Astyanax mexicanus: one gene and its partner. Each later gene encodes a partner of the first gene's protein in a complex. Links are inferred from orthologs where the notes say so. Each region holds a gene or a part of one and is shown on either strand. Other genes may lie near its edges.

What was found.
Region 2: gtf2e2 (region 1) and polr2f share a complex: the UniProt entries of both Homo sapiens proteins name them as parts of the TBP-based Pol II pre-initiation complex. The link is inferred for Astyanax mexicanus from reciprocal best matches to the Homo sapiens genes GTF2E2 and POLR2F.

What each region holds. Positions count from the first base shown.
Region 1 is NC_064432.1:19,868,292-19,879,662, forward strand, and holds the start of gtf2e2 (transcription initiation factor IIE subunit beta), read left to right. Parts: upstream 1-6,181; 5' UTR 6,182-6,206; intron 6,207-9,420; exon of another isoform or gene 9,421-11,371. Other genes in the region: prom1b (prominin 1 b), read right to left, coding at 3,123-3,405. UniProt on the Homo sapiens protein: Recruits TFIIH to the initiation complex and stimulates the RNA polymerase II C-terminal domain kinase and DNA-dependent ATPase activities of TFIIH. Both TFIIH and TFIIE are required for promoter clearance by RNA polymerase.
Region 2 is NC_064410.1:9,738,342-9,749,821, reverse strand, and holds the start of polr2f (DNA-directed RNA polymerases I, II, and III subunit RPABC2), read left to right. Parts: upstream 1-6,465; 5' UTR 6,466-6,619; coding exon 6,620-6,639; intron 6,640-9,614; coding exon 9,615-9,684; intron 9,685-11,480. UniProt on the Homo sapiens protein: DNA-dependent RNA polymerase catalyzes the transcription of DNA into RNA using the four ribonucleoside triphosphates as substrates.

The DNA of each region.
Region 1 (11,371 bases):
CATTACATTACATTACATTACATTTGGCAGACGCTTTTGTCCAAAGCGACTTACAATAGTCAAGTACAAAAGTAATAGAAGTTAAGATAAAACATTTTTAGATAGGGCTTAAAGGAGGTCGAAGGGAAATAAAGGGATAGAGAAGTGAAGGAGAAGTAGTTAGTGTGTTAGAGGTGTTAGGAGACTAAGTGCTCTTCGAAGAGTTCTGTCTTCAGGAGTCTCTTAAAGATAGTGAGAGATTCTCCTGATCTGGTAGTGGAGGGTAGTTTGTTCCACCATTGGGGAACTCTGTATGAGAACAGTCTGGATTGCTTTGTGTGAATGTTTGTTTGGCAAAGCGAGGCGACCTTCATTGGAGGAGCGCAGCGGCCGGAAGGTAACGTAAGTCTTCAGGAGTGAGTGCAGGAAGGAAGGAGCTGTTCTGTCATCACCTTGTAGGCGATTGTAAGAGTTTTGAATTTGATGCGAGCATCAACTGGTAGCCAATGGAGCTCAATGAGCAGTGGGGTGACATGTGCCCGTTTTGGTTGGTTGAAGACCAGACGTGCTGCTGCATTCTGGAGTGTAAAAAGAGACCAAATTGATGTGTTTCTTTGATTTTACCAAATTGAAAACCTCTGGAATATAATCAAGAAGAATATGGATGATCACAAGCCATCAAACCAAGCGGAACTGCTTGAATTTTTGCACCAGTAGTGGCATAAAATTATCCAAAAGCAGTGTGTAAGACTGGTGGAGGAGGAGAACATGCCAAGAAGCATGAAAACTGTGATTAAAAACCAGGGTTAAAACTTTACGAATATGAACTTGTTTTCTTTGCATTATTTGAGACCTGAAAGCTCTGTATCTTTTTTAGTTCAATAAAACAACAATGTTCATTTTATGTTCATATACCTATAAATAGCAAAATCAGAGAAACTGATTCAGAAACTGAAGTGGTCTCTTCATTTTTTCCAGGGCTGCATATTGCATTGTAAGCTCTGTATTAATGATACATCTTGCTGATACAGAGTCCTAATTATTTGAGACGATACATAAGACAGAACACACTGTACTAACATGTTTACCCTGTATTATTTCATACCCGTGTGCTGAACAGGATGGACGCGTGTGTTGTGGACTGTTTGTGTAAGCACTGTGTGTAGGTACAGGGTAGGCACTGTGTTGGCAGCATATGGCACTCAGATTATCAGCTTACCTGATTGGACAGGTGACTCAGAGAGCCCCGCCTAATCGGGCAGATCGGCTAATTGATTAGGCAGCAGGGACTTACCACTGCAATCCTATTCTCCCCTAAACACACACATTTACACACACAAGCTCCATTCTGTAGCTCCATATAAACAACTGCTCCACAAAAAAACACCTGCTTAACCACCTGACCTGAAACCCAGAGAAAACAACTCCATCTGTGATTTAAAAAAAATAAAAATATATACATTGTTATTCACTCTCCTGTCCTTTAACTTTTCCCTTTTATTGTATGAAAAGATAAATCAAAGTGTTACAGGTGCTATTGTAAAAGTTCTACACAACCAAACAACAAAACACACACACAGTAGTCTTGAGAGTCCTAACCACTCAATCATCACTGCCCCTGTGATCCATGTGCAATTTACAACCCACATAGCGTCCATGTTTAACCCCTACTGGTCCCCTCACGAACCCTGATGGGTCACTAACATCCACATGTGGGCCAACATGGACCCTGTGGACAAAATTCATGAGCTACCCACCCCTTTGCCATGCGCAGCTCATACAGACCCCACATGGGCACTTGGTCACTGTTACCAAGGTTGTGGGTTTGATACCAGGGGGGTATTGGTACACTATACTTTTTGGCCCTTGAGCTGCCGTGATGGATTGCTGCCCACTGCTCTGAACACATATAAGTTATAATTACGAGATACTAACTCATCATTTTGAGATACTAACTTATAATTATGAGGAACTATGTCATAGTAATGAGATACTAAGTCATAATTACGAAGAACAAACTCATCGTTATTAGATAAGTCATAACTTTAAGATACTTAATCATAATTATGAGGAACTAAGTAATTATTATGAGATACTAAATCATAATTTTGAGATATTTATAATTATGAATAACTAAGCCATAACAACAAGATACTAGGTCATAATTAGGAGGAACTAACTCATTATTATGAGAAGTCATAACTTTGAGATACTAACTTATAATTATGAGGAACTGAGTCATCATAACGAGATACTCAGTCATAATAATGTCATAATAATGAGATACCTACTGGTACTGGTCATTATTATGAGACAGCAATTCACAATAATGACCAAGTATCTCATTATAATGACTATGCATTTCATAATTATACATTATGACATAGTTTCTCATAATTATAGTTTCTTATTATTATGACTTATAATCTCATTATTATGACTAAGTATTTCATTATTATGATTTACTGGACGACTCTTTCTTTCAGGAACTCTTAGTGGTGTAGCACAGCATAGTCACCAAGGCCTGGAATTGAACCCCAGTCTCCCACATGGAAGCTCACTTGCATGCAGTGGTGTTATCCACTGAACCACACCAACCACTAACCACTAAAATTATCAACATACTTAAAATAAAAAATTCAAACATTGACACAAGTGACAATGAAGTGTAATTACCAGAATTGGAAACAGCATTACTGTTACGGAATTTAAAAATGTCAAATAACAACATTCAAAGAACATCCAGAAAACTTTACAGATTAAACTGTCTAAGAACATTAACTCCCTGCAAAAAAATCCAGTTCAAGACCAGCTGGGCTACCAGAAAAAAATATACTCTATTCTGGTGGGCTATTGATCAGATAGGTATTTTATCAGTAACGTTTAGAAAATGTTCTACTAACCAAAAACTGTAAGCTAGATAAACAATTTTAAAGAGTTTAAATTAACTCTGATACAGTAAGTTATTTGAGTTAGTTGATTTTGCTGTGCACAGCTGCACCACGCCCCCTTCCACATCTGCACTCCCCACTCTACCAGCAGAATGCAAAATCAGAATGCAGCGTGATTGCGTTCACACTGTTATCTTTATTTTGAATCAATTGAATGCTATCAACTAGAATTCGGATCGAACGCTCGCTCACCTTTGGGGAAGGGGTTGGGCTGCACGGCGTACAGCAGAGCGTGCACCATGTGGAACAGCAGACCGATGGGTCCGGGCTCGTAGTACGCGTGCGTCTCGTACACCACGGACGGGACGTAGCCGAAGTCCAGCACCTCAGCCGCGTGCGCCCGGTGCGTGTCCGCGCGCGCAGGGGCTCCGGTGGAGGCGGAATTCTTCTGCTGCTGCTGCCGATCCTCGCGCGCCCAACTGCACGAGCCCCCGCAGTAAAACAGCAGCAGCGCGAGCCGCGTTTTCCACAGCATCGCGAGCGGCTCTTACAGAGGAAGACCCCCCTAAAATAAACCGGATTCAATTAAAGCGAATTGATAAATGAATTAGGAATCCGAACCGGAGCAAAACCTCAGCACAGCTTAGATCAGATCCTCGCGTTCTTTCCCCGAATTCCACATAAAAAACAGGAGGAATAAAAGCTCCAGTATGAATTCAGGCGCGCGCCGGTTCCGCAGGACTCATCCTCCGTTATCTTCCACACTATCTCTCCTCCTTCTGCTGCTCGCGCGCCCAGGATACACCGCCGCTCCTGCTGGAGCGCGTGCGCGGGACTGTAGCCCGTCGAGTGTGTGTGTGTGTGTGTGTGTGTGTGTGTCATCACGCATGCGTAAATACACTATACCACTTTATTTTTAAATAGCATAGTAGTATTAACCTCATCAGACCTGGACTTTCTCCTACCTATGTGGGATTAGTAGTACCTAACAAGTATAAATATAAACTTTGTCTTTATACAGGAAGTTATTTTTGCAAAAAAACAATGCCTGCAATTCACAATTTTTTACGAATAATTTTATTGTAGCTTCCTATTATTACTAAATATTTGTCAAAAAAAGCATGACATATTAAGCCAGCCATGTTATTGTACTACACAAAGTACTGTCTCCAAAAGTGCCCAAATTTAGCATATTTTCACATTTAAGCATATTTTGCCCATTTAAAAATCCCACATTCATTTTTTTTGTTTGTTTCATTAGAAAGCAATAAAGGGGATGGCAGAAATAACCGTTGACTAATCAAGTAATCAGCTAATTAAAAAAAACAGTTAAATTAACTTTCAGACACCAAATAATGCAAAGAAAACAAGATCAATTTCTGAAAGAGTTTAGAGTTCAGAAATCAATTTTTGGTAGAATAATTCTGGTTTTTAATCACAGTTTTCATGCATCTTGGCATGTTCTTCTCCACCAGTCTTACACACTGCTCTTGAATAACTTTATGCCACTCCTGGTGCAAAAATTCAAGCAGTTCAGTTTGGTTTGATGGCTTGTGATCATCCATCTTCCTCTTGATTATATTCCAGAGGATTTCAATTTTGTAAAATCAAGAAAAAACATCTTTAATAAGTGGTCGATTATTTTTTTTCAGAGATGTATATAAACACAAAAGATATTCTAGACTGGGACTTTTTACTGTATATAAAGTATTTGTACTTTATAAACAGAACCTGAATGAACAGCTTATTCACTCGCATACCTGTTCTGTCCAAGTGAGGGTATGGGCTGCCCTTTCCCTCCTCTAAACACAAAGAGCTGTGATCTAATGCACAGACTGAGCCCCTTCGCCCCCGTCCCCCCAGTCCCGCCTGGCTGGGCTCATGTTTCTCTCAGTATAATAAGACTGCATCTGTAACAATCCCCTGACTTAAACACCATTCAGATCGCCCTCTCAGCACAGAGCTGAGCCAGCCGGGCCGGATCAGTCTGCCTTCCATGACTGTAGGAACGGTTTAATCCTCAAGAAATTTGACCTTTCTTGTAAATATGGACATTTTAAATGAGATTACAAATCATAGGAAATAAAAGAAATACTGATTGCAAACAAAATACACATTTACCCATCCTAGATGCCTCCGAGCACAGAGAAGTTAATGCCTCTTCTGGACATGGTTACCATGGTTACGAAGTTTTAAGTGGTGTTTATGAATGTAACTCTGTATTGTAGTGCTTGAAGATTGGCTAAAGTAATCCCTTGCCCATGTGGTCATATTTTATATATCTTTTGCTAAAATAGAGACAGCTTTGCACATCTTGTCTGGATTTTCTCAGGTAGAGTCACCTGGTATTCAGGATTCAGGAACAGCTGTGCTGAACTCGTCAAGAGTTCATTACTTGATTTTTTTTGAGTGCATCAGTTGTAAAGTTGTGAAGAGGTAGAGTTGGTATACAGTGAATATACCTATTTGAGTAATGTTCTAATCCATGTTATGGCAAAAACTACTTGACTAGGTAAAAATAAAAAAATACTTTAAGGAATAAAGGTCAGTAAATCTGAAACATTTCAAGAACTTTGACCAAAGACCATTCAAAACGTTGAAACTGGTTCTCATCAGGACTGCCCCAGGAAAGGAAGAGCAAGAGTTACCTCTGTAGCACAGGATAAGATCATCAGAGTTACCAGCCTCAGAAAATGCAGGTTTACAGCACCCCAGATAAAAACACTTGAGAGAATTTTTGTTTGTTTAACACTTTTAAGTTACTGCATGATTTCTTATGTGTTCCTTCATAGTCTGGATAAAAATAAAAAAAAACATTGAATGAGAAGGTGTGTTTAAACTTTTGGTACTGTTCATTAATTGGACCTCCTGGGTTTAAAGGAGAAGGTGGGGGGTCAAGGCCTTAATGCTACCTCCTTGAAATTAGTTTTTGCAGGGTGTCTGTCTGGTGTCGTCTGAGGGATGGAGATCACAAGCTTAGGCTTGTGCTTGTACGTCTTTATGTTTCAGGGCTGAAGGTGCAGCATTGGACGTTGCTGTTTTTACAAAAGAGATGCATGCATCTCAGTTTCACCATTTAACTTTTGACACAGTATGATATGAACATACATATGGATAAAGTGCAGAATGTTAGATTTAACCTAATAAACTCTTTGTGTGTAGTTCATGAATAGCTATCTAACCATCCACACATCTGCTTCTTTCTGCTTCTTTCAGATCAGGGTCGCAGTGGGTTCAGAATCTACCCGGAATCATTTGGCACGAGGCAGGAATACACACCCTGGACAAGGTACCAGTCCATCACACTACCTACTATTTTGGATTGGACCAAACAAGGTAGGTGTAAAATCCTTTCTTAGGTGTAATAAAAGTTAAAGGGCACATGTACCACTTTTTGTATGTATTATTTATGCTTGTTTTATGCTTTAAAGACAAAGTAATCTTTAATTTTAACATGGCCAACCTCTCAAGATCCCTTCAAATTAAACAGGCTGGTCCCATCAGGGGTGACACATTTTTAAACACCTAATTTTACCTACAAAAGTGACTTAATTCAATTACTATTTTAGAGACAGTTCAGACAATTTATCACCAACAATGAGTTCATGGGAGTTCATGCATTTTACTTATTTTTTGATGAATACGCCACTGTTACTCAAAGTAAATAAGGCAATTCTTACTCCTAATGTTTCACTGTTTAATTGAACATGCATTTAACTTGGCCTAGGGTTCATTTTGAGGGCGCATATTGAAAAAAAAAAATAGGTTTCAGCAAAAGCTGGATATTGTGAAATGGCAGTGGGCCTGACGATTCCTTCTCCAGGTTTACTTGCATGCGGTGAGTTTTAGAGGTAGGTGTATTCTCCTTTCAATCATGTAAAATTTATTATTTTATGAAGCAATAGAAACAGCACTGTATGGACTAATATTTTATGTTAAATGTGGGGGGGGGGGGGGGGCGGGGGCACATGGTGGGTAAGATCCATCTGTGATCAATGAGTCTGGGTCCACTGCAGCCTCAGCTTTCTGTTCTTGGCAGACAGAAATGGAACCCGATGTGGGTCTTCTGCTGGCACACTTTAATTTGACAGAGATAGGCTGTCCAAAACGCTTGTAATGCTTTGAAAGTACTACATAACCTCATATTTAAAAAAGAAAGTCCTTAAAATTCTGAATGTTTCCCGAAACCTTTTATAACTAGTACTTAAATTCTTTCATAAGTTTGGAGACTAAGAGAAATCAGTACTGTACCATCACCTTTCTGTAGCAGCACCATGCTGCCTCACGATTGAATAACTGCTTAAAAAGTAGATGTACGGGTGTTTCTAATGTATTGGTAATACATATAATAACTTGCTCAGTCTGTGTGTAAGAGACCTCTTTCAGAAAAACGCACAGATCGGATCAGAGTCAAAAATCCCTGGAGTTTAGCAGGCATGATAACAGCTCAGCTACACACACAATCTCTCCCTTTATATGTAAGCTGGGATTAGATAAGTCCCACGCTTCAGGAATCAGGACTGATTTGATCTGTGCTGCAGGTAAAATATAAGTGCATTGCTTTGTCTCTCTCACACACACACATTCAAAAACATATATACACATTTTTTTATTCCGCATAGTTCCCAGCTTAATCTTGGTACATTAAGCTGTTAATAATCAACTTTTTTAATAAACCCAAAATGCTAAATACTGATGGTTAGAATTAACGCTGAAAGACAAGCAGTGTAGTAGTGTACCTCTTGTTACAAGATTAATGACTGCTAGACATGAAAAAATAAGGAAAACATCTGGAATATAATCAAGAGGAAGACGGATGATCACAAGCCATCAAACTGAGCTGAACTGCTTTATTTTTTTTCTATCCAAAAGCAGTGTGTAAGACTGGTGGAGGAGAACTTGCCAAGATGCATAAAAACTGTGAAAAAAAGTGATTTTACAAAATATTTTTAAGATTTCTGAACTTCAGAGAAACTGATTCAGAAACTATAGTTGTCTCAAATGCATCACAGAGGCATGTAAAGCAGTCAACAATCTCTTACCAAGAGGTACACTACCCAAAGGTTGCCACTTTTGTACAAAGACCCAGTGTCTAATCATATCTCATCTGTAATCATTTTTGCGATAACCCAGTATGTTTTTTTGGTGAAAAGAGAAATTAGGAAATAGTGTTTCATCTTCTACCTAATGAAGATCTGCTTATCTTCTGCTGTATAAATTTACGAGTGTACACCCAGCTTATTACTGTATGTGTATGAAAATATGTCTCTTGAGGTATGTATGCTATGTATTGTTCAATAATACTGTCACAGAGTGCAAGTAATAATATATGATGATATGACAGGCCCATGAGCATGTATTGTACGAAATGTTCGGTAGAGGAGATCTGCTTACATCTTTAACTCCATGTGGACCAAAACTGCCTTTCTGGACCGAAACCATGGCAACATGCTGCATAGCAACAATCAGTGCACACACAGACATCATTCTAGAATTAGGAGTATCCACCCCCCCCCCCCCCCCCCAATAAATCAATCTTTATTAAATCGATATTTAAAAATTATGCTACACTAATTAAACATATTTGTCACTATTTAAAATGCTGTGTATTTTAGGCAAAATGTATAGACAAAATATTAATAAACTAATAATTTTTTAATTATTATTGTACATGTAAAGATTGGTGTCATACTTTTGTTCATAGTGATGTGTTTAAACCCATCCAATAGAAAGCATTCTAGTTGTTCTATTTGGATGAAAAGTTAACTTTTCTTCTACTCAGATTTTAGAAATATGTTTTTCTTAAACTTAATTTAAACAATCACATTACATCACCCTTCATACAGTATCACAGTACATCATAACCCCTCTATCATGATAGGTTTCATATCGCTAAGTTCTTCCTAATACACAGCCCTACTCTTAACTCTAATATAAAACAGCATTACATCTGCAATATATATATATATGGCTGCAAAATAAGTCAAACTTCTAATCTCATTATTTTGTATAACATTTCTAAGACAAATCAACAGTATTTAAGTTACTTAGTGAATCTCTTAGTTTTTAATAAATTATAATGTGTAAAAAATGAATAAAATCCCTGTCTTTAGACGTGTGGAATCTAGATTGAGCTTAGCACACAGAGTTACATATATAATACTTCTCTCTACCACAAAATCTGTTTGTGACCTAAAGCTTAAGCGTACTTGGGTTCTGCAGCAAGACAATGATCTGAGACACACCAGCAAGTCAAAACGTTTTGGAGTGGCCTAGTCAGTTTTAAATAAAGATTCACTGCCAGTTATCACAAATGCTTAATGGCAGTTGTTGCCATCCAGGGAGGCAATTTGTTTTTCACATATTGCCAGGATGACTTTGACTTAGGACAGCTTTTTTTTTCTTGTAATAAAAGAAATTATCATTTAAAAACAATCTTTAAACATTTACTCAGGTTATCTCTGTCCGAGATTAAAGTAAATTTGGAGCAAAAGCAAAAGCTTTTTCAGAAGCATAGTACACATGCACAGAAATAAAATAATTCAAGTGGTACAAAACAACAAAACTTTTATTCACAAATGCAATACCTTTCATGTGCCCGCCCCCATTCCTTCCCGTCCCACCCCCCTGAAAATACATCACTTACAAAGGATGTGAAATGATCCATCTGCTTCTGCTCTTACAGAAAAAGCTAATCAATAACTCAGTAACTGCAGATATCGATATTAATCAATAAAATAAGAGGAAACATACTGTATCTGTATGAATCAGAAAAAAAGAGAGAGAGAATAAGAGAGGTGAGAAGAGGCTATGTTCAGACTGCTAGTCCAAATCAGATTTTTATATCTAGATTGTGTCCAGATTGCTTTTTAATTGTCTGTACAGACTAAAACCACATTAAATCAGATTTTTGCAAGTCGGATCCAAACCACATTTGTCTGAGGTGGTCTGAAATGCGATTATAATCAGATTTGCAGAGATGCCTGATAATCAGATTTCAGTGCGTCTTTTGCAACATTTACAATACGACAACCAACAACCTCATCAAATCCAGAGTAATGAATTAAAGGCATCAATCTTTATAACACAGGAAACTGAACAGATACATTTGTGATATCTGGACGCACAAGTTCTATCTAATCATAATAACAATTGCTCTGCAGTCTGATCATAGTCTTGAAGTCTGATAGGTTAGAAAGCATTTAGCTTAATATCTTACAAAAAGACCCAACATTTGCACACACTATGCAGATAGAATTGAGATATAAAGGTTATGTGCTGGTATAGATTATCCCAGTACACACTGGGGTTTGGGGACTGACTGCTGGACCTTATTACATGCTAAGCTTAGTGATATCAGAGGAAAAAAAACATTGGGGCAGCTTCCATAATTATAGATGAAAATTCAGCAAGAAAAAATGTCCAAATAAAACAAAACCTAAAAGATACGATGGCAAACTTCATATTTGACTTGTTTCTTATACTAAATATATACACTGACATACCAAATGGCATGAGACAGGAGCTATTATTGTGTCCCTTGCATTGCTAAATTTGCTTGATCATTTGTGCACACAGGCAGTTCTAGACAAAAGCAACTCAGTACACTGTCCACTGTGGGTGGTAATGCCTTCTATGACTTATATAACTTCTATGACTGATAGGAATATTAAACGCCCACACAACTTCAAAAATTAAACGTCCCTTCCTTCTGGCACTGACTATTAGGCCGCACTCCCATAATTCACCTGGCCTTGCCATGAGCATGCTGGCCAGTGTCCAACATCACTCACAACTTAGAATACAGGTGTGGGCATTCCCAAGGCAAAACTTCATTATTAAAATACACACTGCTGTCCCATGACTTTTGGCATGTCAGTTATTTTTATTTTATTTTTATTAAATATCTATTTTATACTTATGCATGTATTATGAAGTCTTACTCCTTCAAAAAACACACTGAAGTTTGAAAAATTAAAATGAGAAAAGAAAAAAGGAAACAAGAGCAATGCCAACATTTTTCAAGAAAATCCTAATGTTTGTTTTAAACATGAAAGCTTTGTATTTCCATAGTACTTCTCTAGATATTCTGTCCTATAAGCTGTTATTATAAGCACCAAAAATCAGAAAGATTTATTTCATCTTTAAAGATTAAAAAAAAAAATAATAATTTTAATTCACCCACAGGTCAGAACCACTCAGTAAACTAGATCAATAAATAAGAATCTTAAAGACTGAGGAGCTACCCATACCCATGTTATAATGTATGATAGATATTTTTTGTTCATGTAACCACATAAACTGAAATATAGTTTGATTTAGTAAACTAAAGTGCATTTTTCAGTCCATATGTTCACATATATTTTTTTATTATTAAGGTGGTCTAAAATAATACTATATTAAATGTCGAATCAGGATGTTTTTGGAGTGACGCCATTTAAACAGAGCAAAATCAACTTTACAGGCAGTCAAACAAACGGAAGAGCAGAACTCCTGGATAA
Region 2 (11,480 bases), on another chromosome or scaffold:
AGTGCACATAAAATGTACACTGTTACACAAGCTGTACACTGACTACTTCATCTATTACCGTCACATCCAAACATTAGAACACCATATTGTTTTAATATAATGATTGACAGATTTATGCATAAAAAATATTTTACCTGAATGATTTTTGTGTTTGGTCTATGTGGATGGTCACTGTCTCTTAGGGGAGGACATAAGTTTCCACAGGGTGGGACCAGCTATGAACACAAAGGAAAGAGAACACAAACAGAGTAGGCATATTTTAATTCTGTGCTCATTTCACTACATTTTAAATTTTAGACCTCTTTTTTTCAGACCACTGTGTGTGTGTGTGTGTGTGTGTGCATGTGTGTGTGTGTGTGTGTGTGTGTGTATGATATGGCTCTTCCAACCATCACTGATTGGTGGAAACTTCACACTAGACCTCAAGCAGCTTGGACTGTGTGTCTCTCCACTCTTCCTCCAGACTCTGCTCCCTTAATTTTACTGATGATCAGTGATGGTTTGTAGAGCCACGTCATCTGCTGGTGTTGGTCCACTGTGTTTTATCAAGTCCAAAGTCAGTGTCAGTCAATATTACAGCACTCCATGCTTCCCTCTGCTGTCAACTTTTATGGAGATGTGGATTTTTTTTCCAGCAGGACTTTGCACATTGCCCACACTGCCAAAAGTACCCATTGGTTTTATAAAATATTTTCTGATTTTCTGAGATACTGATTTTTGGGTTGTAAGCCATAATCAACAATAATAATAAAAAAAAGCTTAAACTTGATCACTTTTTGTGTGGTATTACACACAGAGTGATCTATTTTAAACATTTATTTATTTTATTGTTGATTAGTTACTAAATTAAAGTAGCTTTTCAATGATAATCTATTTTTTGAGAGACATTAGTATATAACACATATACTAGTATATATACAGTCATGACCGAAAGTATTGGCACCCCTGAATTTTTTCCAGAAAACGAAGTGTTTCTCCCAGAAAAATATTGCAATTACACATGTTTTGTTATAAACATGTTTATTTTCTTTGTGTGGAAAAACACAAAAAAACTGAGGAAAAAGAGGCAAATTTGACATAATTTTACACAAAACTCCAAAAATGGGCCGGACAAAATTATTGCACCTTTTCAAAATTGAGGGTAATAACTTTGTTTCAAGCATGTGATGCTCATTCAAACTCACCTGTGATAAGTAACAGGTGTGGGCAATTTAAAAATCATGCCTGAAACCACATAAAAAGGAGAGAAATTGAATCAATCTTTGCATTGTGTGTCTGTGTGTGCCACACTAAGCATGGAGAAGAGAAAGAGGAGAAGAGAACTGTCTGAGGGCTTAAGAACCAAAATTGTGGAAAATTATTAACAATCTGAAGGTTACAAGTCCATCTCCAGAGATCTTGACGTTCCTTTGTTCACGGTGCGCAACATAATCAAGAAGTTTACAACCAATGGCACTGTAGCTGATCTCCCTGGACATGGACGGAGAAGAAAAATTGATAAAAAAGGTTGCAAAGCAGGATAGTCCAGATGGTGGACCCAATCAAGTTCCAAAGAAATTCAAGTTGTCCTGCAGGCGCAGGGTGTATCAGTGTCAGCTCGAACTATCCGACGACATTTGAATGAAATGAAACACTATGTCAGGAGACCCAGGAGGACCCCACTGCTAAAAAAGCTTGACTGCAGTTTGCCAAATGTATGTAAGTAAGCCAAAATCCTTCTGGGAAAACATCTTGTGGACAGATGAGAACAAGATAGAGATTTTTGGTGAAGCACAACATTCTACTGTTTACTGAAAACAGAATGAGGCCTACAAAGAAAAGAACACAGTACCTGCAGTCAAATATGGTGGAGGTTCAAAGATGTTTTGGGGTTGTTTTGCTGCCTCTGGCACTGGGTGCCTTGAATGCGAAGGCGTCATGAAATCTGAAGATCAAAGGATTTTGGGTCGCAATGTAGGGCCCAGTGTCAGAGAGCTGGGTTACAGTCCTAGGTCATGGGTCTTCCAGCAGAATAATGACCCCAAACATACTTCAAAAAGCACCCAGAAATGGATGGAAACAAAGCGCTGGAGAGTTCTAAAGTGGCCAGCAATGAGTCCGGATCTAAATCCCATTAAACACCTGTGGAGAGATCCTAAAATTGCTGTTGGGAGAAGCACCCTTCAAATATGACTTGGAGCAGTTTGCAAAAGAAGAGTGGTCCAGAATTCCAGTTGAAAGGTGTAAGAAGCTTGTTGATGGTTATAGGAAGAGATTGATTTTAGTTATTTTTTCCAAAGGGTGTGCAACCAAATATTAAGTTGAGGGTGCCAATAATTTTGTCCGACCCATTTTTGGAGTTTTTTGTAAAATTATGTCAAATTTGCTTTTTTTCCTCAGTTTTTTGTGTTGTTTCAATACACACAAAGGAAATAAACATGTGTATAACAAAACGTGTAATTGCAATAATTTTCTGGGAGAAATACTTCATTTTCTGGAAAAAAAATCAGGGGTGCCAACACTTTCGGCCATGACTGTATGTTCTGACTGCAGCCTTTCTGCAAAGTGCAGTATTGTAAGGGCTTGTACAGTGCAATGTTTCTCCTAGCGTATTGCAATTAATTGGCATAATCAACATGTAATCAACATTACTGGCATAATCATCATGTTGAATACTGTGTCATAATCCACAGTAAAAATCAAAACATTTTCTAATATATTAAATTTAAGTTGAGTAGTCGGTTGATGGACAAAGCTGTGACAAACAGCTAGCTGTACTAAATATTCTGCACAAGAAATATGAAAATAAAAACAGTGAAATGAACTAAAAAAATCTAACAGAAAATCCAACCTGCTTTAGCATACATACATGCATACATACACACATACATAAACAGAAAAGCCAGCTTTTCAAATTCTGACCACAGTCCGGGTACGGACAGTAGTTTTCATGTGCAGGTTTGGTTAACCTTTTTCAGCAACAACAAAAACCTTTTCCCGGATCAAAAACAGAGCTGTAAGAATTTAGGGTTAGTTGTGGGTGGGTGTAGACTCTTACCTCTTTATAAACGCTGCTCAAACAGTTGTCCTATTCTAACGCTGCACCGGACCTCCGTAAGAACAGCACCGGAAAACAGAGGTTTAGTATCTTAAAGCCATTTTGTGTCACCTGTTATACCTGCATCTCATAAACAACAAAATGTCGGACTGATTATTTTTTACTTTCACTTTAAATACGCAGCTCATCAGCGCCCCACAGCGGAATGTAGTGGAAACGCAGCGCCACTTTTTCACAAATAAATAAAGCGAACACCAGGTCCTGTATGACCTTCCTACAACGCCTGGGCGTGCTCCTGATCTGTATTAAAGCATCAGTCAACTCCTAGACAGTCTGTGATGCTACCTACCATTGATGGATATCCCTGCACAGTGTTGGGCTGTAACAACAAGCCCCACTTGTTTCTGACAGTTTAAGCAGAAAAACTGATATTAGTGGTCTGCTTGACACAAAATGGATTTAAGATACTAAACCTCTGTTTTTCGGTGCTGTTCTTACGGTCAGCGACTGGGAGTCAGGAACCATGAGACCAAAACACATCTCCTGCATGACCAGAGCTGTATATGTTATGTCACTGTTAATCACTAGAGAGATCTCTATTAAACCATGATACAGAACAGCTGTAAATAACACACAGCTGGACTCTATTACCTAATTAAGTGTCAATTAATTGCATTGGTTTTTATTTAGAGGGTTCAGAATTAAGGGGGTTAAATACTTTTGCATGACATATTTTTTAGATTTTTATGATTAAAATTTTGGAAACCATGTATCATTTTTGTTCCACTTCACAATTATGTGCTACGTTTTGTTGGTCTATCACTTAAATCTCAATAAAATACATACAATTTATGGTTGTTATTTGAAAAAAAAATGGAATACCTCTCTAACTCTAAGCCCTGTGAGCTGCCTCTGACTTCCAAACTGTCCCTAAAAAAAAACAAAGAGATTTAACAATTTTTTCCATTTGTTAAATCTCTATTTTATTTCTCTTCCTATTTTCTGTATTCCTTTATTATTCACAAATTATCATTTTCTGTTTCTGTTTATTATGTTTTTTTCTATTTATTATGTTTTTTAATTATTGTATTTCAGCCAATTCCTACCATTCCAGGTTTAATTTGATCATTACACTACTCTCCACAGTCTAAAAGCTGACTTCCACATAATCTGCAGAATTCAGTCATACAGGTTTCTTTCTACCATTGCTATGTGAGCAGAAGGCCAGTATGTCTTTAAGGTTTATCTCTCATATAACATTATTACAAATAGTCCACCACCAAAGTTATGGTGTTAACTGGACAGTATAAAGTAAATATAATATTTGTCTATGTAATATGTTTCTATGTAATAATGTGTTCATTTTAAAGTACTTTCAGAGCTTAAAATATAGCTCTTCAAGAACAGGCTCAAACAATAATTATACACCAACTTTATAAAAGCATAAATGAAATGATCACTGCTTTAAAGGACACTGATAATAGATATTACACCAATACTGAGATGCGTTCACAGAGATTGTTCGGTAGTAAGATTGTGGGATAGAGTAGTAAAATACAGTTTTATCACTTAACCAGAGTACAATCCAACACATTTACTACACTCTGAAAAGCCACACTTTGAACTCTGCTATCTGCTGCTCTAAACAACAAACTCTCCTATTACTTTCTGTTTCTTTTTTAATGACACTGGGTGTTTTATTGGAAATTATTGTCTTTATTGTGAGTTCAGTTCATGCTAAAGAGTCATAATAAGAAGCCACAATTCACACATATTACACAAATCTTCAGCTGTACTGAAATCTAACAAATCCAGACTAGTGAAATTCTTAAATATTCTGTTACTGTAGAAACTGGGCAGATCTCTTTACTTGTTTTATGATATAAATGTGTTGTAGAATCACTTTCAGATTTCTATCAAATATATACCAGAATATCAGTGCTTTTACATTCCAATGCTCACAAGGTGCTTACCACACACAGCTATGCCCTGAACACACCAAACCTGATCCAGATCTTAAAGGGTTTAATAATTAACTGAAGATGTGGTGTGTTGTAACTGAGGATAATTTAAACTGGCCCTGGATATAGATTCTGAGGAATGCCTTATGCAACAACGACACCTTCTGGACAATCTAGTAAACAGTGTTCCACTCAGCTCCTTGGAAAATGTCTAGAATTTGTTCTTCTTCTTTGATACATTTTTCATAGTAGATAAATTAATAATTTAATAATTTCTAAACATTCTCATGTTTAACCCCAAAAGAGCTGTCTAACATTTTTAATTATATTAGCAAAAAACAAACGTATTTTTTTAGCAGTTCAATTGCAATTGCAACGTGACCAGTGAGAGAAAAAATATTATGAATCAATATTATTACAGTATTGTGTTCTGTTCCTCCTTGCTGTTTAGACATTTTTCATTTTAAGTGTTAAATTCAGGAGTTAAATAAGCAGATTTTATTCTATTCTAACACACCTGATCCAGTTTAACCAGCTCTGGATCCAGCTAGGTGTGTCTATATACTGTCCTTCAGTTCTGTCAGAGAGAAAAGCCTAAAGCAGGTCTCATGGCTAGAGCATTTATGCAAAGGCTCATTCTCCGCACTGGCAAAGAGATCTACTGATGCTGCTGTGCTGTGTAATTATTATTAGAATTTAAATCTAATAGATTAAATATGTTTTATTCTCAATAGAGCACGGAAATCACAGGATGTGCTGGAATGTTACAATTACAGATAAAAACAATAACTCGTTTAAAGTGGCGGCTTGTGATAAACATTATGATGGCAGTGCAAAAAACAAAAAAAACAAAACATTAAACATTTAATTGTGTCATGTGTGTGTTTATTTTCTCATACTGCGCACAGTTTAAAAGCCTGCATCTCTGTTGCATTAGTGCATGGCACTCGCATTGCAGTAGTGCATGGCACTCTTTTGATTGGCTACAATCCTTTATCAGACAAGACTGGGAAAACATTCTTCTCCCAGAATTATGAAATAATAAAGTAATAATTATAAGATGCTAAGTCATCATTCTGAAATATTGAGTCATAATTATCAGATAATAAATCATAATTATGGCATAGCAAGTCATAGTTATAAGATATTATCTCAATTATCTCATAATTATGACTTAGTGTGGGACCCATGTTTTTTTTCCAAAAAATCATAATTATGACTAAAATGAGCTTCAGAACAAAATATGAGTCTATGCAATTTGCAAAATCTGATTCTGTTTGCGTTTATTTCTGTGATAACGTGATGATACCGTGAATCTGGAAACTTTACCGCATTAATTGTCACATTGAGAAGTTTTATTTAGCGGTATAAACAACGCCTCTCCCTCCCTCTCCCTCCCCCTCCCTCCCTCTCCCTCCCTCTCCCTCTCCCCGCCACAGGTCATTTTCGGTGTGCGCTCCGTGTTTCTACCCGGACAGTTTACAGGAGAACACCGCTGAAGCAGCGCGGGGTGCAGGTTGCGGTGTGGCTTTAATTACTGATAGAATAAATAGGTTATTTTACTGTAATTTACTTCTAAATAAGCCTCTAGTTTAACCAGTAGATCCTCACTCAATCCAGGATGTCTGACAACGAGGACAAGTAAGTGTTTATAATCGCTAAACAACCCGAGTTTACCCAGACTTTATATCAGAGACAATACTTACGGTACTCCTACTAAAATAAATAACATTATTAATAACCCACTGATTAAATAACCGAGTTTACCCAGTTTATATCTGAAACAATACCACTACTGCTACTATTTCTAATATAAATAACATTAATAATAACCCACTGATTACATAACCGAGTTTACCCAGTTTATATCACCATGTTACCACCATACTACTATTATTTCTAATATAAATAACATTATTAATAACCCACTGATTAAATAACCGAGTTTACCAGGTTATATTAGAAGCAATACCACTACTACTACTAATATAAATAACATTATTAATAACCCACTGATTAAATAACCGAGTTTACCAGGTTATATTAGAAGCAATACCACTACTACTACTAAGTTACTAATATAAATAACATTATTAATAACCCACTGATTAAATAACCGAGTTTACCAGGTTATATTAGAAGCAATACCACTACTACTACTACTAATATCAATAACGTTATTAATAAACCACTGATAACCAAGTTTAGCCAGAGTTTATATCAGAGACAACTACTAATAGAAATAGTCATAATTTTATATATATAATATATTATATAATTATATATATATATATATATATATATATATATATATATATATATAAAGTATTGACTCATTTGTAATGTTGTTGTTGTTAGTAGTAGTAGTAGTAGTAGTAGTAGTAGTATTTTTGTCTCTCTGTTTTACACCCAGTTTTTTTTTTTTTTTTTTTTTTTTTTTTTTTTACTACAATCAACCAGAGTTTAACCTTAAGAGGTTAGAAAATTGAACTGATAAAGGTTAGATTTTCAGGGGTTTTTTTCAGTCTTATAATCTAAATTGCACAAAACAATGAAATATGGAAATTGTGAAAAAAAATTATGAAATGTGAAAAAAAAACACTATAAAATTCGAAAACTAAGTAAAACTTCATTTCTTTTTTGATATATTAAAGTACGTTTTACACCTATTTTAAGAAAATGCTAATGACAAACAATATATTAAAATATTATGGTAATTAAAGTCATATTGTAAAATCAGGATGTATATTTAAAGCAGAAAAGGTCATCATGAATAATTCAACATGTCTGCAACTCTATATCAAACATGTTACTATCAAATGCCAGTTTTCAATAAAATGGTCCATCCAGTCATGCAGTTTGCCATAACCGGGTGGACGCATGCAGGACAGCAAGTATAAAGTGATTAAGCTGGAAAATATGATTTCGGTGTAATCTTTTAATCTTATGTAATTTTAAAGGTTATGAGAATCCATAATGCAAAGTATTTTGATAATAACCTAAATAGTGTGTTATATTTCAGTCAGCTCAGTAGTGTTTTCAGCAATAATGTTGCTGAACCTAGACCTGACCTACTGCAGCAACCCCAGGTCATATCACTGCACCACAGGCTTGTATAGTACTGTATTTTTGCCCTTTTAGGTGCACTTAAAATCATTTCATCCTTCAAGTCACTCTGCTGAAGTACAGAGTTATACAGGAGATTCAGTTTAGTTCTCCAGCAGTATTAGCATTACCCACTAAGCGATATTTTTTTCGCCATTCAGAGGTGAGTATTATCGGCCTGTAGCCTGCTGCTTACCCCGACTAGCACTGCTGGAGCAGCATTAGCATTATGTGCTAACTGCGTTAAGCACTAGCCTTCTTTTTTCTGTTTAGAGGTGAATATATCAGACTGTAGTCTGCGTGTTTACCGTGTTAAAACAAGCTATGTGGGATGAATCGCTAGCTAATATCAGCCTGGCTTACTGGAACACTCAGGGTTCCTTAATGTAGTGCTGGCGGGCGGTGTTAGGTGCTAACCATGGCTAGTGCTAGTGATTAGCTGCTAATGTTAATATTGCTGCACCCAACCTTAGTGGAAATCAGAAAATCTAAGCTTACAGTAAATAAACAAAAGCTCTTTACTCACCCAAATAAACAATTTTCAGAAGAGAAATCTGTGTAGATTAACATAAAGAGACACCCCTGTTCCTTAATAGTGTTGCATAATGTGGCTTATAATCCGGCGAGCCTTATTTATTAAAATAGACAAAAAATAGACAGTTATTGATCGTGAGCAGTGAATTATAAGGTGTACTGATGATTTTTGGGAAAGTTAAAGGATTTTAAGTGCACCTTATAGTGCAAAATGCGGTAGACATTAGGCATGATTGGTGCATGGGTACAGCCTTCACTCTTCTTACCCTCATGCGCCCATCACTCTGGAACAGGGTAAATCTGGACTCATCTGAGCACATGACCTTCTTCCATTGCTCCATTGAGTCCAATCTTTATTCTCCCTCAAATTTGAGTTGTGCATGTGGAAATGCTCTTACTTTCACTATTAACAATGTCACTGAGTTCTAGTTTTTTCTACCATTTGATTTCACCAAGTGTTTAAATGATTGCAGATCATGTTCATTCAAGATTTTTTTTCTTTTTTCTTCCTTCCAGGAAGATGATGTTCCCCTCTGTCCTTCAAGTTTTTAATAATGCGATAACCCGATTCCCATCTCCTAAGATGTTTTCTTTGCTTAATGCATGCCAATAATTAGACTTTTCTAAAAAAAAAAAACAAAAAAAAAAACAACAACAACATATTTTCTATGACCAAAGGATGAGTCTTTCCACATGGATGTTTTTACAAATTAGGAGCTACTCACTGCATCAAACTTAATCACTTATGCAGTAATTATCCAATTGAAGGCTCTTACCTATTTTTTTAATTAAATCCACGTGGTGATTTTTTTTTGCCAGTGTATTAATGTCAGTGTTTTTGCCAGGCAGTGTATTAATGAGTGTTTAAACTCTCTGTCTGGGGGATGTGTGTTAAATGTGCTGTCAGTCTGATTCCTGTATAATCGGTGCTTTCTGAGTGTTGCTGCTTTAATCTGATCCTCTTCTGTCCGTTTCAGCTTTGATGATGGAGATTTTGATGATGTTGAGGAAGACGAGGGACTGGATGATCTGGAGAATGTGGAAGATGTAAGTGTTTTGATCTCTCAGATCTGATTCAGGTTCATCTTTATTAGATGACTAGAGTTGCAGACACTGCAGATTTTGCTCTAGTCTTCTTATCCCAATTAATTAATTAATTAATTTGTTCACCTCAACGTTTCTAATTATGCTTTTCTTAGCAGGAATAGCCCATAAACATAAATCGGCTGATAGGTCCACGTTTCCACAAATATTTTTTTCACATTTTATTTATATTATTTAAAATGTATTTACCAAATCTCATGTCTCACCATTCCCTAATAATTGTAGTCTAAATAATTGCTAAAACATTGCAATTGTATTATTATGCTATCATATCAATAGCATAAACTGGTCAAATAATAACAATTTTGTCATTTGTTTATTTTTTGGACAACAAAATTAAATAACCCAATAAAAATAGATATCATGACAGGCCTAGTCTTTAGGGTTGTGTGAAACATCTCATGATTGTCATTTGGTGCAGATTGGGGGAAAAAGAATAAACATAACTTTTAATACACACTCTTAAATAATTTGCTTACATGCATATATTCTGATATGGTAGTATGTGGCTCAGTGGTATTGCTGTGGTTTATATGGTTTACATTCAAATGTATGAGAGATTATTTATTACAATTACGTTATACATTCTTAAAATTTACTGAAATTAAAAAAGTTGATTCAGGGTTTTTTTGTTTTTTTTTTTGAAGATGTGGCAGAATATACATAAACAGCACAATTTAGGGCTATATGTTTTCAATAGTATACAAACACAATAAAACTTAATAGCAGTATTAGTATTAAAATCAGCATACAAACATATCTTTTAAAAATGGAACCATGCAAAACCTTCTTAGTTAAGGAAAAGTGTAAAATTGTAATAAAAGAAACATGGTGATATACATAGCAAATGAAATCTGTTGATAAACTCTTTGTACTACCAAAAATGCAAATATGATTTCTAAGTCATTTCATTGTTAATCATCAATACTGAACACTGACCCAGTTAGAGCCATAATTGTGTTTAATAAGGTGGATAGGGCCGGGTATAAAAATCGATAGCAATGGTTACCGGTTGAAATGTCTTGGTACTACGAGTGACGAAATGTCTAAAGAAATTTGGGTGCTGGTTTTCAATATTTCGCATGAAACGCACCAAACGCGAGAGAGCTCACACAGCGCGGTAAAAACAACCATTATGGCGCCGTGACGCACACAAGATGAGGATGAGATTACTCATGTTGGCTGCTTCTGTTTCTACTGTATGAGTGTTTTTATCCCAGTAAAATAGAGCAGTAACTACAGCCCTTTTAAATATATTTATACTGTAGCTTGAATTATTTGAATAGATTTTTTAAATGGAGAAAGAGGAATTGTGGCAGATTTAAATACTATAATGCCTCTATTGGCTTCGGGAGTAACATATAGTAAATTTATATAAAACTTGTGTCTTACTTGTGCAATAGAGCTTTTGAGAAATATCTCTTTGAATACTTAAACATAGTAGTTTTTAAACATAGAGTATTTTAGGTCCATTTATAGTGTTTATGGAACTATTTAAAATATTTTGTAAAGGAAGTTGTGTCAAAGTTGTTGGCGTATATTTTTAAGGTCTATTTATGTTCTTCAGCTGTTTTTCTGATAATGAGTCTGATTTCTTGTGCGATAAAGTAAACCCAATACTAATCAAAGCCTTAATTTTATATTATATGTACTACTAACAGTACAGTAACTCAGAAACCTATATTAATGCCAAGTCATGCAATAAAATAAATAACTACTGTGGTATACCTAAAAAGTAC